Drosophila melanogaster: one gene and its partner. The protein of the gene in region 1 purifies or fractionates together with the protein of each later gene. This does not show direct contact. Each region holds a gene or a part of one and is shown in the gene's direction. Other genes may lie near its edges.

Region 1 (8,874 bases):
GATATTTCGACATCCCAGGTTTTTTGACCTGGTCCACTATGCTTTGCCACCACTGTACCATGCAATTGTAGGAGGCTGATACCGCGTTCGTTTTTTAAAATGGCGGCGCGACAGCCGCAATTGGCGATAATTTGTTTGGAGAAAGGAAAAAAAATGTGAGCTCTTGGGCGAGGGGTGCAATAAAGCCCTTTTGCAGGGCAATAAAACTGATGTTTCTAACGCCTGCTGCTTCATATTTTGCGCACATTTTGAACATTTGAATTATTCCTTTGTACGCGCACAAATTTATGTATGTATGCTATACTATCCTACCGCAACAAAAAGGATGCGCAGACAGTGCCCATCGAAACCAGCAGTATTTTAGCTTTTTGTAAATCAATATAAACATAAGCACACCCACCTTGTAGCGTTCTAGTTCTAGCAGCACAGCTAATACTTATACAGAAATTACTTTGCGACAAATTAACTGATTTCAATTCAACCGACGCCGATACAAACAAATTATAACCAACGCGCTAGTGGGACCTTAGCTACCACGCGGAGAAATACCACGTGCTGCCGATCATCGTTTTGCTTTCGATAAGTCACGATGGTTCACGTCTTGGAATTTCTACATCTATATGTAAAAAAAAAAAAAAAAAAATTATCAGAATAGTGAAACAGTACAACCAACTTTAAAGTTGTAATAATTAAAATTGTTTGTAAATGTGGTTTAATATCATGTATACCATTTATTTTATAAATATCCACCAGCTGGTTGGACATCTGGCAACTCCTGTCATTACATGCTTTCAGTGTCGAGCGTTTTCCAGCACTTGCATGTTTACCTTAAGAAGAAGAGTAGAAAAAATCGTTGTGTAGTGGCAAAATAAATAAATACAGATGTGAGTAGCAGTAAATAAAACATACAAAGTGCAAAAAAGGCATAAAAAGTGCATGACCCTCGCATAGTTTAGTTTCCAGCTGGGAAACCTTTTATTTGTCTACGATCGTACATTTATCTGCATGTGAAAACCTCAATGAAACAAAGGGAGAAATTAACGGTGTATTTTCCCAGCCGATTTACGTGGTTATATACATAAATATATGAAGTATCTGTGAGATCTTGAAATCCCTGGTGATAAAGTGTAAATGTTTGTCCTGCATTGCGGTAATCTCTTACAACAAAGTGGTTTGTTTTAAGTGGCCTTCTTTCGAGTTCAGTTTCAATGGCCTTTATCAGCTGTTTGGCACATGGCGTTGGAAGTGCGGGTGTGTGTATGTATGTAAATAGTATGTACAGTACGTACGTGTGTGCAAGGGTGACAGCTGTCGCCCCAGGGAGAGCAATGTAAGTGAGTAATATTTGTTTATGTGAAAGCAAAGTTCAACGGTACCTGCAAACACACAAACACACATCCCCAACATCCGTGCTGATTACGCTGCTGTTTTCACCTACACCGACGTACCACTGTGACAGTGTGTAAGGTTTTGCCTCTTCAGCATGATTCGGCACTATTTCGTCCAGTTTTTGCCTTTATCATTCATTTACCAACAACCAACTCAGCGTCACTTTATGCGGAAATTTAAAGCCGCACTTTGATGAACTAATGTTATTAAAGGGCGTGGATTTTCCAAAGTACGTTTGATTCGCCATAATACTTATATGGGATTTTTGGCGGGGGAAGTCCCTTTTGCCCTTATCTGATTAAACAAAAATATTTGTGTAGTACATATGTAGTGGTTTTAATTTGGTGATTCAGATAAGAAAAACATACGATAAATTTTAAACGTTTTGTAAACATTTCTCTAGAATAAATAATAAAATTAAAGGATAATCTTTGAAAGGGTTTTGTGTCTTAATATTATTAAATGAAAAAAAAAAATATTTCATTATTGTAGTTACTTCATTTAATGCGAAAAATTTTTTTAAGTGTGTATCAGTGATATTAATATTTCTATCGTCATGTGTATAAGGCGTTCATAAATTGAAATTGTTTTGGGAACATGACTTGATACTTCAAAATTTATTGCCTTTTCAATTGAGCTTGGTAACAATGATTAATCGGATATACCGTACAATATTGTGTATATGGCCATTTATGTTGTGAAATTCCCTTAAGACAGAACTCCGATCATGACTAAAATACTATGCAATAAAAAATAGAGAGACGTAATCTCTTTTAAACATATTCCACGATATGCGCATACGAAATTAGCTTAGCTTTTTGTTTTGATTGTATTCAATAGTTCATTTGGCACGGACTTTGAACACATTTTAGCTATCTTTTGAACAAAACGAAATTCCTAACTGCTTGCATGACACGCGTAATTTTTTTGCAAACGCTGTGTAGCCTGAGGCTCCATACAAAAACCTGTTGCTGGTAAACATGGTAAACAATTATGTTTGCCATCGGTTACGATTTGTGAGCATCATCGTTACGGTCCAAAAAACCGCCCACGGGCCGTGCGTTTCATTCATGGCATTATATAGTTTTTATCGCCACAACACGGAGTGTATTCACCTGGAAGGGCCACATAGAACTCAGGCACATGTGTGCACACACACACATATGTAAGCATGATAACGCTCTTTGAAACGCTCCCCCCACTCCGCCACCATCCCCGCGAGAGATAAGTCTCGGTGGGCTCTGTGGCTGGGCAGACGCAGACCACGGCAGTCAGTTGACGGGCTCTCTCCACGGCACACGCATGATCGCCGGAGCGGATTTGCGGAGAAGCAGCTGATCGCGCGCTTTCATTTTCACACGGACTTTCAGTCTTTGTTTGCGAAACTATTGATTATTGAAACTATCTCTACCGAACTAACGAAGCTGTGAAGGATCCCTATCGATCCGAGATTAGTGCCAAAATGCAAACCCAAATGCACTCGCCCATGCAATATGAGACCCACATCTCCGACATGCCCAACCACAAGGGATACCCCTGCCGCCCAGAAGGTTGGTTTTTTTTAAAGTTCTGGATTTGACCTTGGGTCTACAGTTCAATTCGCAACAAGTTTGCCAGATATTTTCGCTACGCGTGCTTTTGGTAAAAAAAAAAGAAACCACTGATCATGACGGTGCGCATTGCGAATCAAGTTCTCTGAAACAGCCCACAATGATTGGCGAAAACGATTCCAGATTGTGCTACAGTGAAGTCACTTGTAGTTGAATGTGAGATGATAAAAATTAATGGAGTGAAACGGCACTTATCCAGGTTGCATTGCTCGATTTGGACGTTTGAATAATTAGAGACATTTGAAATATTATCGCGAAAGAAACTGGTTTGTGTTGACAATGCAAATTCCGGTTGGCAATGTAGTATCCATTCGAAAGAGTGTTCTTGAAATAAACAGATAATTTACCTTAATCTTATCTTAGTTTTCTAATCGAGAGCTTATAAATCTTTAAGCCCAATTTACCAAATTACCAACTCATAAACTTACCAACTTATTCGCATTCAAAAACAAAATAAATGACCGCTTTAATTTCTAGAACGTATTAAAGGTCGGTCGTATCTAACCTTTCGGTTATCTTGGATATCCATAATATAGTACGTCATTTCACACTTGGAGGATTTCTTTAAAGTGCCATTTTTAATTTTTTTGCAAATTCATAACAGATTAGATAATAAAATAGAATAAATAGCCCGCGCTGATTGTCGATCTATTTGCGATGGATGAGGTACGAGGTACAAGGGTTACAGGGCTCAACTGTAGGGCGTGTATTGGTTTTAAGATTAATAATAATTAATAATAATTAATTACTATTTAATATAATTATTAATTATTATTAAATTAATTGTTAAATAATTAAAATTAATTGAATATTTTCTGAAATATGTCCTGGAATTACAATATGATCTATTCCTCGATTTTCCAGAGGCTGAGATGAGCAACACTTCGGAAAGTTGTTCCATCTCATGCGGTGGTCGATTCGGATCGGCGCACTCGACCCTAGATGATCACGATGCTACGGATGATGACATGACCTTCTGCATGTCCAATTACGCCAAGGAGGCCCTGAAGATGATGTACATGATGCGTTCGCACGGCATGCTCACGGACGTGGTACTCGAGGTGAAGAAGGAGCTCTTTCCCGCCCACAAAGTGGTGCTGTCGGCGGCATCGCCCTACTTCAAGGCCATGTTCACGGGGGGACTCAAGGAGTCGGAGATGTCGCGCGTCCAGCTCCAAGGGGTAAGTTGAGCTCAAGCGCGGCCCTTAATTGGTTGGTTTAATGGATGAACAGTTCGTCCGTTTCGGTGTTACAGGTGTGTCCCACGGCCATGTCACGCATCCTCTACTTCATGTACACCGGCCAAATACGTGTGACCGAGGTAACGGTGTGCCAACTCCTGCCCGCGGCCACCATGTTCCAAGTGCCAAACGTAATCGATGCCTGCTGTGCCTTTCTGGAGCGCCAATTGGATCCCACGAATGCCATTGGCATCGCCCACTTTGCTGAGCAACACGGCTGTGTTGAGCTGCAAAAGAAGGCCAATGTGTTTATTGAGCGAAATTTCACTCAGGTAACCTATTTACGATATGAAAAGAGTACACAAAACTATAGCTACTGAGTTCCCCTAAGGTGTGCCAAGAGGAGGAATTCCTGCAGCTTTCGGCATATCAGTTGATTGCCCTGATACGAAGGGATGAACTGAATGTGCAGGAGGAGCGAGAGGTTTACAACGCTGTGCTAAAGTGGGTGAAATACGACGAGGACAATCGACACTGTAAAATGGAGCACATTTTGGGCGCTGTCCGTTGTCAGTTCCTTACGCCCAACTTCCTCAAGGAGCAGATGAAAAACTGCGATGTTCTGCGAAAGGTGCCCGCCTGTCGGGAGTATTTGGCCAAGATCTTTAAGGACTTAACGCTGCACAAGTGTCCAGGAGTCAAGGAACGAACCCCCAACACCACAAGGATGATATTTGTCGCCGGTGGCTTTTTTCGTCACTCACTGGACATTCTGGAGGCCTACAATGTAGACGACATGACGTGGACGACACTGGCAAATCTACGCATTCCAAGATCTGGTTTGGGTGCCGCCTTTCTCAAGGGCAAGTTCTATGCGGTTGGAGGCAGAAATAACAACATTGGATCTTCCTACGACTCGGATTGGGTGGATCGCTATAGTGCAGTCACCGAAACATGGCGTCCGTGCGCTCCCATGTCCGTGCCACGCCATCGAGTGGGCGTGGCCGTGATGGACGAGCTGATGTACGCCGTAGGCGGGTCCGCCGGCATGGAGTACCACAACACGGTGGAATAGTAAGTAGTGTTCATCATTTCAATAGATAATAGTTTAATTAATTTGACAAAGCCTTTCTGGTTGTTTATTCTATCGACATAGTTTAGCAAACCCTATTTATTTAAATCTCTTGCAGCTATGACCCCGATTTGGATCGCTGGACTCTTGTACAGCCGATGCATGCCAAGCGCTTGGGAGTGGGTGTTGTGGTGGTCAACCGTCTGCTTTATGCCATCGGAGGTTTCGATGGAAACGAGCGCTTGGCCAGCGTGGAGTGCTACCATCCGGAGAACAATGAGTGGAGTTTTTTGCCACCACTACAAACGGGTCGCAGTGGAGCGGGTAAGAATGACTGGCGCATCCTGTTATCTAATTTCCAACTAAGTTCCGATTTAATTGCTATCAGGTGTTGCTGCAATTAACCAGTACATCTACGTTGTTGGTGGCTTCGATGGCACCCGTCAACTAGCCACCGTGGAGCGTTATGATACCGAAAACGATACCTGGGACATGGTTGCGCCAATTCAAATCGCACGCAGTGCTCTCTCGCTGACTCCGCTGGACGAAAAACTGTACGCCATTGGTGGATTCGATGGCAACAACTTTCTGTCCATAGTCGAGGTCTACGATCCACGAACAAATACGTGGACAACAGGAACACCACTAAAATCGGGAAGATCGGGTCATGCGTCGGCGGTTATTTATCAGCCGGCGTGTTCCACCACGTTTATGGACTACGAAGATAGTGACGCCCCACACCCGGATGGAAGTAACAACGGGGAAAGGAATGCTCATACACCACAAAACACGTACGGCAGTGGGAGTCCACATTATCCTGGGACGGCGTCCAATATGCAGTTTCATACTTCATACGGAATGAGCGGCTGCAACAATTGTGACTCGGAAATGGATATAAAACCATATATTCCTGCAGAACACCATAGTTTTCAAATTCCCGCCATTAGATCCGAGGAGCTAGTCAATCCAAACTGTCCTTGGTCCAGAATGCAGGAAAGATTTCGAAGAACTCCACCAGCGTCTTTCACAGATGATGAGAGAAATGCTAATGATATGCGGCATAAATTAAAAAAAGCACAAAAAGAATGTTTATTTAGCACAGCAGCGAAAGTTTTTCACCATCACATCGAAGGTCGCCTGCGAAAACTCACGAGCGCAGCCACATGACAATACGAATCCGAGCCTCACGCTTAGCCTCAACCAAAAACATCATTCATTGTACAAAGCCTGATCGTATCCCCTAGAATTCCATGTTGAGAAGCAGCATTCCATTGTAATATTACTTACTAGTGTGTTCGCTAGGTGATAATTAGTCAAACCGTTTTTATGGCATCCATAACATAACTGGCGCTCGTCAGCCCATTTTAAAAAGATTGATTAGGGTTAATAGTTGATTAGTGGGAGGAAAGTTCGTATTTTACGTATTTTGTAGGTATCCAAACTGATAGATTGCGTATTGTACTTTTTTTAACGTAGGATAAGAAGAGGAATTATGCGCATCCAAAATAGGTTTTAAGAAAAGAAAGCAAATAATTTAAGAAAAATAAAACAAACATATTTTACAAAGTTATTTAATCTTTTTGCTATTAATCTTGTGCAAACCTTTGGCCGTGGCAACAAAAAGGCCATATTCAAATATCTTCCTAATAAAACTCACCGTGACAGTGCTATTTATTCCATTAGAAAGATAAACTGTTGTTTTCGTATTTGTTTGTAAACGACTATTTGTGTATTTTGCTTTTAAACAAGTTGTCTTAACAAGTTGCACATTAAAGACTTCTCTGCTTTCGGGGTCTTGGAGGATTGAAGGAAACATGTGTGTTGTCGGTAATGGAAACGATGTTCAGCCCACCCATTTGCAGTCCTTTGATGGCCGACTGAATCAAAACATTTAATTATTTTTAAGTGACATGAGAGACAAAAAGTATTGAACATACCATTCTTCCAGGGCCAAGACCACGAACCTTTACTCGCACTGTCTTCCAGCCCAATTCAATGGCTTTCTGAAATACAATTTAAGTTTTTTGTTTTAAATGATTCTATGCCCATATTATACTATTCAAATGCATATATGGTATACAACTATAATGGAGATTATCTCGATGTTCTATGTAGTTTTTGACCATCCTACTTTGGTAAAACCTGTTTCTTGTGGAAATGACTTACTCCACTAATGGTAACCGCTGTAGCTTGAGCTGCTATGTTGGTTCCCTTGCGAGTGTTTTTGAATCCCTCAATTCCACAGGATCGTATCAGCCGGAGGACTCCTGGAAAGAGGGATACTTTAGATCACAGTTAGAGTAACGTTCCAGATGACCCACCTTTGTGATCCGTGACGGAAATAATTGTGTTGTTGGGTGAAACGCGAATGTTGCAGATGGGCAGCTCGTTGAAGGGTATTCCATTGAATAACGTGTTGGCGGTGCTGGCATCCGGGAAAAACTTAGCCTTGCTAAATGGAAAATTAATTGAATTCAAGACTATTTACAAATGTAAAATTGAATTCCAACCGGTTGATAAGTGTGTCGATGTCCACGGTCTTTTCGCCCACGGTTCCTTCGTCTTTGGCCGGTAAAGATGCCAGCATTTCCTTGCGGTCCTCCGCCTTCCGCCAGCAAGCGCTCGTGTGTATCCTAGAAGTCTGGAGCGGCACAGCGGGCATAGTAATACTCCGAAGAGCACTTAGAAATACACTTTTCAGTGACATTATTAATTTACTTCGCAGAGGGTTCACAAAAACCAAATTACATCACACTGCCAGTCTGGCAACACTGGCAGTGTTGGCTAGCACGCCACAACAAGTGGCCACGCTTCGTGGTGACTGACAAAAAGTCAAGAAGAAGACTATTTTCACGTGTTCTTGTTTTAAGTTGGTTTTGATTCCGGTTATCCTCGTGTAAAATGGCTTTAAAAAGGTTGAAGAGTAAGTAATAGTATATATGTATATACATTAAATGAAGCTCTACATCTATTGTCAAAATCCACAGCCAAGAAATCCAAGAGGCTCACCGGTCGCTTGAAGCACAAGATCGAAAAGAAGGTGCGGGACCACAACAAAAAGGAACGTCGCGCAGCCAAGAAGAATCCAAAGAAGGGTAGCAAGAAACAGAAGCTCATCCAGATCCCAAACATCTGTCCCTTCAAGGATGACATCCTCAAGGAGGTGGAGGAGGCCAAGCAACGTCAGGAGGCCGAACGTTTGGCTCGCCGCGAAGCCTTTAAGGCGGAACGCGAACAGAACAAGTTCAAGACGCTGGAGTCCATGGTCGAGGATGCAGACATGCGGAGCACCGTGCACGGAATAATGCACGAAAACGATGCCCAGGATCAGGACGAAAAGAAGTACAAGAACGCCGTGACCAAAGAGCAGTCATTGAAGCAGTACTTCAAGGAATTCCGCAAGGTGATAGAAAATGCCGACGTTGTCCTGGAGGTGGTTGATGCACGTGACCCCCTGGGAACCCGCTGCAATGAGGTTGAGCGCGCCGTTCGCGGTGCTCCGGGCAACAAGCGACTGGTCCTGGTGCTCAACAAAGCCGACCTGGTGCCGCGAGAGAATCTGAACAACTGGATCAAGTACTTCCGTCGCAGCGGACCTGTCACCGCCTTCAAGGCTTCCACA
Region 2 (7,912 bases), on another chromosome or scaffold:
AGGGCAGTGGATCGCTCAAGCGCAAACATCCCGCGAGGAGCAACTCACTGAAGTCCTTCTACCAGAAAAGTCAGCTGCAGAAGTTGCAGCAGCAACAGAATCAGCGCCAATCCTCGCCAGCGGCGCATCTGCCGGAGTTCATTGAGGGTCGGTCGCCCTATCACGTGGACATCTCAGCCAGCGATCCGGAGCAGGCTCAACGCCTGCAGCGCCAGCAGGTGGACGTGCTGCCTCCGCAACTGATACCCATGCCGCAGCTAATTAAGCCCTTCCACTTGGAGGCGGAACCGGAGTTGATTCAAGCTCTGCCCCCCGTCTCCGCCAGCAGCAGTGCCGGTTCTAATCTCCTCGAGAGCTTCAATCATCCCGGATCGCAGTACTTCCGCAGCTCCCGCTCCTTGAGAGGCGATAGCTATCTGGATACCAATCGCCTGACCGGCGGCGATTATGCCAGTCCGCGCTCCATTAGTGCCCCCATTTACCGCAGCGATCTTGGCAGAGGAGCCAATGGCCTTTACCCCCCCATCGACGCACCCACCTACTTCTCGGACCAATCGCGCTCCTGGCAACTGGACGAGGAACCCACTCGGGCACAAGCGGTGGAACCGGAGATCGTTAGCTTCGATCTGTTGGCCGACGACGACCTGGCCGAGTCCCGAACCCTCCTCCGGGACGGACTGGCGCGCTGCGCTCGCGGAGAACGTCGTGATAGCTACGGCGAATGTCGCCAGATCGAGGGCTATTAAGCGGAGGAGTGAGAACGCCAGACTGCCAGCTTAAATGTTAGTTTCATACATTGCACACTCTAGAATTAAGCCGACGAAATTGTCTTATTAATAAATACGAAAACATAATCGACATTGAGATTAAACTGCTCGTTAGTAGGAGCAAATATGGGAGATGATTTATTTGCGACTAACATTAAGCACCATTACATGGCTAATAACTTTTTGTTAATAGTTAGCTTCAGATTGCAAATCACCTTCTATGTAGATGCTCCAACGGCGGAAGTGGGCACTGGATCTAACGGTTCGAGTTCGGCTTTAATGATGCGCTGAAGGATGAGGCTGGAGTCTGGATAGCCTTCCTGGGGCCATAAAACGGCAATTACTGTCCAGAGCCAAAGGCCAGGTGCTCCATAGTTTGCGATGTACGCGAGATTTATGTGCGAAACCAGTTTGCAGGTGGCTGCCAGCCCCTTCCTGTGGCCAAGTCATTGAACCCGCGCCCAGAACTGCACCCAGACTAGATAACTGAAAGAGATCTAGCTGTGTCTATTGCAGGCGGGGCAATTAGCACTGCCATAAAGATTTTGGACTTCTTTTTGCGGCAAATTGAGGTTATTGGGTTAACTTTTTTTGGAATCATGCTTACAGAGATTGGGTTACTAAACAAATTTAAATTGGCGCAAGATGAGTGAAAATAACTCATCACAATAATAAAAAAAGAAGTTTCTTCTTGAAACTCAATGCGATATCTGCGAACGACAATGGGTTAGATGAGGAGCCGGAGAAGATCGAACACAAGGCAGATAGTTCCTCTCGAATGGAACGGACTTCGAACGTGGCTGCTGGGAAGCATTAGAAATGCGCGGAGCTAAAGATTCCCACAGCAACCTGGCAATGCGGAAGTCTTTGGGCTGATTGGAGGCGGCCATTGAACTGTGTCCATAAATCGGGTTTTCTTGGTCTTCCAGTCTCCAGTTGTGGTCCAGGTGGGCTCGCCTTCACAGCGGCCGAGAACTTGGAATCATTCAACGCACGCCATTGGAGCACATCGGTCCTGCGGTCTTTTCGCTTGGGCAACATCATGTGCAAGTTCACCAACCGGCTGTTTGTGTTCGCCCTGCTGCTTGTGGCACTTGGAAGAATTCTGGCCCAGCCCGTTGGCGGCAAGACTAGGCCAGGGAATTCGAGGAACGTGATCAGCGACTTGCTGGACGTCTTATACGACGACTATTCCGAGAATGGTTTTCAGCGCGAGGACATTCTATACGACCAACGGCAAAAGGGTGGGGAGAACTATCAGTTCAAAGTGGATGGGGTCGTCATCGGAATGGCGCCTCAAATGAGCTCCAGCTTGCTCTACTCCATGGCAGAGTCCTACTTGAGTGAGTACTACTGTAATAGAATCGAATTGCCGACATAACACTAATTCCACGCCAGGTGAAATGTTGTTGCGCCAATCTACACCGGATCCAGATTCAACTCAGATGTACGAGAGGGATCCTGAGACCGACACAGACTCTGGTTCCACCGAGGGCGTAACTAAGATTCCTGAGCTAGCCCAGATTAATTTGGAAAGCAGACAACATCAAATTGTAGCTTCTCAAACTGCCAGCCGGTTAGTACAGCACTAATATGTAATTCTGCTTAGAAACTAATTAAAAGATGGTTTTTGCTCAGATCTCCAACTCAACTGCTCCAATTGCTTAAGATGCTCAAAAGTTCTAAGGCCTAAAATGATATCTTTAGATACTATGACAAGAAATTAGTCCTAAGTTCTTGGAAAATACATAGCAAATAAAATCATTCTTCGAATTTAAATTTCCGTTGATCCCATTGGTGCTGTTCCACTGAACAATATTTAAAAAGTTCAAAATCACTGTACAGTACTTGGTATTTTAAACATCCATCACTTTTCCATTCAAAATATATAAATATTGAAAAGCATGACATACGATGTTTTTTTTTTTTTATTTTAACTTAGTGTGTCAACTATCTTTATAAAAAAAATTAAAATTTTCTGGGAATCCAATAGAAAGCTCAGTCTGGAGATGAATCCTCGAAAGCGGAGCTAATTTGCAAGCAAGACTCGGCATCCAATAGTGGATATCTGCAGATCGTCCGATTTGAGAACTCCGAAATCATATGCTTTTCATTCCTATTTTCTTTAGATCCCGGACAATTGATTTCTGTTTTTTTTCTGTTTTGATTTTCATCATCGATTGATTAATTTCCATGAGGACATTGTTTTCAAAGCTTTTAAGACCGCGAATAAATCCAGTCTCATTCAGTAAAGATTCGTGAAGGCAATTTCGTGTGATATCAAGATATATATGTATATTCGGAAATAATGTTCACGTGAACCTCGCGATTTGGAAGTTCAATCCTTTGAAGGATTGAATGATTAGGACGCCATCCTTTATATGTTTTAGATATAAATATCACCCTTCACCTTCTCCAGTTTGATACCTATCAATATTACTAGGGAATGCATTACGACGGAATTCAAAACATCTTGAAAAACCTCCAATTACCCCAGTTCAGATTGACCGTTTTATTGCCTCCCATTTTTATAGTTCCGAAGAAAATTACGAACGCAGAGGCATCATTTTAGATTACCTAGATTGCCAAGTTTCATAAAACAAAACCATCTTTAGATTAGGTTTTCAATATTTCGGGTTTGCTGATTTCGATATCGATAAGAAACTGACGTATGTATGTGTGAAGTTTTAATGGGTAAAAATATCGATATTCTGGCGAAATTTTATGTAAAGCAAAATGTGAATGTAAAAATACTAAAAGTGGTGAGTTCGATAGAGCCGCGTAAAAATATTTTCATTATCGATAACCGAAGTATTATTAATCTTTGCCAAAGACCAGCTTTGGCATTACAATACAATTTTGGGGATAGATTAACTAGTGCAGCCCAGCAGGCAGCACCGTGATTTGCAACAATTTGAGCCTCACTCATTCAAGAACCTTCCAGCAACTAGTTCGCCTAGTATATATACCTGCTCTCACCCAGCTGCACTTGTATACACAATCGAACGGCCGAACAAAAACTACGCAGTAGTCGAGAGCTCCAAATTAATAGAATCCGTCACATAAATTCGCCGCAACAAGTTAAACGAGAATAAAAGCGTCAGCATCGATATATATACATACATATATTCAAAAGTCTGTCGAAACTACAGAATACGTTGCGAAAATGCCGGAGAAGCTGTTGAAAATCACCTACCAGGGCGCTGGACCCCAGAAAAAGATAAATGCATACCTGCGGATGCCCTCCCAGAATTACACCATATTGCGTCGCGAAATCGAGCTGTATCTTTTCCAGGAGCGCCAGTTACCCAAATGCGACGTAAGGACCTTCTGGATCGGTGAGTTTTACAATGAAAATGCCGCAGAGTGAATGTTTGCTATACATACAAACAGTTATTCGCAATTGCAATCGAGTCGCAAAGATTGCAACATATGTGCATGGTATAAGTACATTCGTTTCCATACATAACTGCATCCGTCCGAGCAGTGCTGACCATTTAGCTTTTAAGTCTCGTTACTTAAAAACCAGCCCAAATTATTGCGTACTTTGCCCAACAAAGCAGGGATTCACCTAGATAGTATTCCTGCTCAATGCTTATCATTGGCAAAATTGTGTTGACACATTAGCTGATAAATATGTACATATATATTTTTATGGTACAAACGTGGTCAACATATTAGATGCACTGTTTCATAAATGGCACACATACAAAACATTTTTGATTTTACATATTTCTGAATTCTCGAATTATACATATATATTTTAAATACATCTAACGCGCTTTTTAATTTGTAAAGTATGTGTACATGTACTCATATACATTTACATAGATCAAACGGGTTGTGCTGGTACAACCACAACTGTAGCTAATTTGTCTAACTAGAGCCCTCAGTGATTCACCTTTGATAACAAAACTTCACTGATTCATAATTGATTTTATTTTCCTTTGCCTATTCTAACTTTTGCAGACGCTGATAAAGATGAAATCGAAATAGTCAACCAAAATGACTATGAGATTTTCCTGGCCAAGTGCGAGAGCAATATGCACGTTCAGGTGGCTCCACTGGCGCCCGTAGAGGAGCCAAAGGCCACCAAGCAAGAGGGTTCTTCGGCCAACGCTGAAGCTCCTTCTGTCGACGATCCGAGCAATTTCACCATCCACGACGCCGTTGAATGCGATGGCTGCGGCTTGGCTCCCTTGATTGGGTTCCGCTACAAGTGCGTTCAGTGCAGCAACTATGATCTTTGCCAGAAATGCGAGTTGGCTCACAAGCATCCTGAGCACTTGATGCTACGCATGCCGACCAACAATGGACCCGGTATGGTCGATGCCTGGTTCACAGGTCCAGGATTGGGACGCCGCAGTGGCCGGCGCTCCAGGGGACATTGCCCGTTTCAGGAGACGAACCAGGCAGATCCTGCTGGCGAACCCGCAAGGGATAGTCGCCGTGAACGGCGTCAGGCCCGCCGCCATGCCGGAGTCTTGACTCAGTTTGTCGAGATGATGACCAACTTGCCGCTGAACACAACAACGGCCACGGCACCAGCCGAACCGCAGAAACCGAAGGCTGCAGAACAAACTGAAAGTCCTCCACAAGCTGAGCCCACTGTTACCGCTGAAAAGGCAGCTGAATCCGAGGCCAAACCAACTGAGCCGAAGAAGGTTAACACTGATCAAAGTGTCCCTAGAACCGAAGATCCAGTGACGACTCCACGTTCCACTCAGCCAACTACTCCAGTGATTAATCTGGATAACATTTCGCAGATTGTGCCACCCGAGTACATGAGTGCTGGCATCGAAATCCTTAATAACTTCAGCGAAATGTTTTCCAAGATTATCGATACCACTGAGGGCGGTGATTCGGGAATTTTTGCGCCCTCAACGACTCCCAGTGCTGAGAATAAGAAACCAGAAGAGCAGGGTCAATCCAGTGGCCAGTCGGGGGCATCCTCGGCCAACCAGTCAGCTGTTCCCTCTGCCGCTCCATCGGCTAATCAGTCTAATGTCCCATCTGCTAACCAGTCGGCCACTCCATCAATTTCTGGTTCGATCCCTGATGCTCAGCTTGAGACAGAGCCCCTGAATCCTAAGCCATCGGAAACCACCACCGAAACAGAGCAGGAAAGACGCCGTTCAGACAGCTTGGATCCAGAGTGGCAGCTTATTGACAATGCATACTCTGCAAACAATAGTAACTTGATCAATCTGGACACAACCAATCCCACTGCTGCTCCTCAGGAGCCGGTGCGTGATTTTGGTCAGCTGGGCGAACTATTGCGTCAGCACATGAATGAGGAGGCTCGCGTGGAGCAGGCTTCGGCCAACACCCAGACTGCTCAAGTTGATACGGTGAGTACATCGACCTCGACCACATCGGTGACCACCAATAGCGTCGGCACCTCCCCAGCAGCTCCCGACGACAAGCGCACGGTCCCCGTCTACCACACTGGTAAGTGCCGAATTAAATAACTAATCGCTTTGTATTAATTATGTCTCCTAATTAGATGAAAGCATCAATAAATCGATCCATGCCATGATGGCCATGGGTTTCAGCAACGAGGGCGCCTGGCTAACCCAGCTCCTAGAGTCGGTTCAGGGCAATATCTCAGCTGCCTTGGACGTAATGAACGTATCGCAGAACCGCAACTAAATATTCATATTCAATATCGATATATCTACAATGTATCTTCAATATCTATAGAACCCAATGAAAAAGGGATTTTACTTTATCGTATCAGTTTACTACGTAGCTTAGTTTTTCTGTGGTGCTAGATTTATCTCGTAGCCAAAATAAATGTGAAAATAGATATATGTTATGTTTTAAATAATCAACAAAATGTTATCGTATATATATGTATGTGTGAAATTGCAATAAAGGCACAAAGTAAAATGATTTAAAATGCCTGCTTTATACCTGATATGGTTTTGTTTAGTAGAGTACGATTGACAGACAACAAAAGCCTCCTCCACTTAGATAATGTGTTTATACGTATGGTATAAATCGATTCTGGTTTTTCAGAGTTCAAATCCGCAAAGCACTCGAATTATTTCTTGAGTGATACACAAATCCACAATACTGTGTTTCGGAATTCGATTCGTTTCCTGTAGTATTGATATTCCAGTGTGAACACTACTCGCTTGTCGAAAGAGCCTCAAAGATCTTCTCTAGCTTCTGCTGCATCTGATCCAATAAAATAGTCTGTCGCCAAGCCGGCAACATCTCGCACAAATCTCCGGAGTTCGTAATTTGCAGTCGTAATGGTGGCAATAAATGTGAAAAATTTGAAGAGCTTCTGGTGGTGTGCCTTCCACTGTCGCCGACCGAATCCCGTGTTATATCCGAACATTTGAGATACCATCAGAACGAGGAATCCGGACAATCCGAAAAATCGATGAAGCATTTTCAAGGCGAAGCCACTGTTGATGAAATACAGCGGAAGACCGCTCAGAACGCTACCCAGAAGAAGAGCACAACCGATTATACCTGATGGGCGAAAGATGGAGGCATAAATTATCATTATATTTGGGAAAAGAACCGACGAGAACACACCGTAAAAAGCATGGTTGCTCTTAAAGTGACGAACGGTGGCATTGGGGTCTTCCCGTTTGCGCTCCAGCTTCTGCCATGTCTTGATTCCGATTCCGCCGGCTCCGACCAGGAATGCCAACAGCCCCAGGACGGCGTGCAGGCGGTTGAGGTTCAATGGACCCAACGAGGACTCCAAATATGCGCTATTCCGGACCAGCAATGCTTCGCCCATGAAAAACACAAACTATAATGAAATAGAAGATAGATGGAACAATGATTTAGGACGGGTAAAAATTTCAGGAGATAGTAAACCAGTTTATATTTAGGTCTTCCGGGTACAGAAAACTCTCACTCGAGAAATATATATCCTTGAAACCATTAGATTATTTGTTAACCGTGGCCTCAAACTTTCACTTTTTCACATATGTTTCTAAATCTTTTAATATCCGAAATCAAAATACTTACGCCGATTGTGCAGTAGAAGGCATGTCCGGCGGTGTGCACCAATTTGAGCACCAGACACTTGTAAACAATGGCTACGGTGATCCCCGCCAGAAGCACATGCGAGATCAGTGTGCAGAAGCCAAAGTAGAGGCCTCCATAGGAACCTTGCA

What was found. The genes of interacting proteins can lie anywhere in the genome.
Region 2: the proteins of Keap1 (region 1) and ref(2)P purify together in Drosophila melanogaster (affinity purification with western blotting; 3 studies listed by BioGRID). This does not show direct contact.

Annotation. Positions count from the first base shown.
Region 1 is NT_033777.3:17,071,883-17,080,756, reverse strand, and holds Keap1 (Keap1), read left to right. Parts: upstream 1-2,654; 5' UTR 2,655-2,851; coding exon 2,852-2,939; intron 2,940-3,863; coding exon 3,864-4,180; intron 4,181-4,254; coding exon 4,255-4,512; intron 4,513-4,571; coding exon 4,572-5,254; intron 5,255-5,370; coding exon 5,371-5,576; intron 5,577-5,640; coding exon 5,641-6,419; 3' UTR 6,420-6,815; downstream 6,816-8,874. Other genes in the region: mRpS11 (mitochondrial ribosomal protein S11), read right to left, coding at 7,022-7,129, 7,190-7,255, 7,419-7,519, 7,574-7,704, 7,763-7,959; Ns1 (nucleostemin 1), read left to right, coding at 8,154-8,175, 8,240-8,874.
Region 2 is NT_033779.5:19,538,884-19,546,795, forward strand, and holds ref(2)P (refractory to sigma P), read left to right. Parts: upstream 1-3,584; 5' UTR 3,585-3,933; coding exon 3,934-4,105; intron 4,106-4,736; coding exon 4,737-6,218; intron 6,219-6,273; coding exon 6,274-6,419; 3' UTR 6,420-6,665; downstream 6,666-7,912. Other genes in the region: CG13082 (uncharacterized protein), read left to right, coding at 1-746; CG13081 (uncharacterized protein), read left to right, coding at 1,810-2,110, 2,166-2,343, 2,406-2,460; CG10337 (uncharacterized protein), read right to left, coding at 6,922-7,253, 7,320-7,542, 7,764-7,912.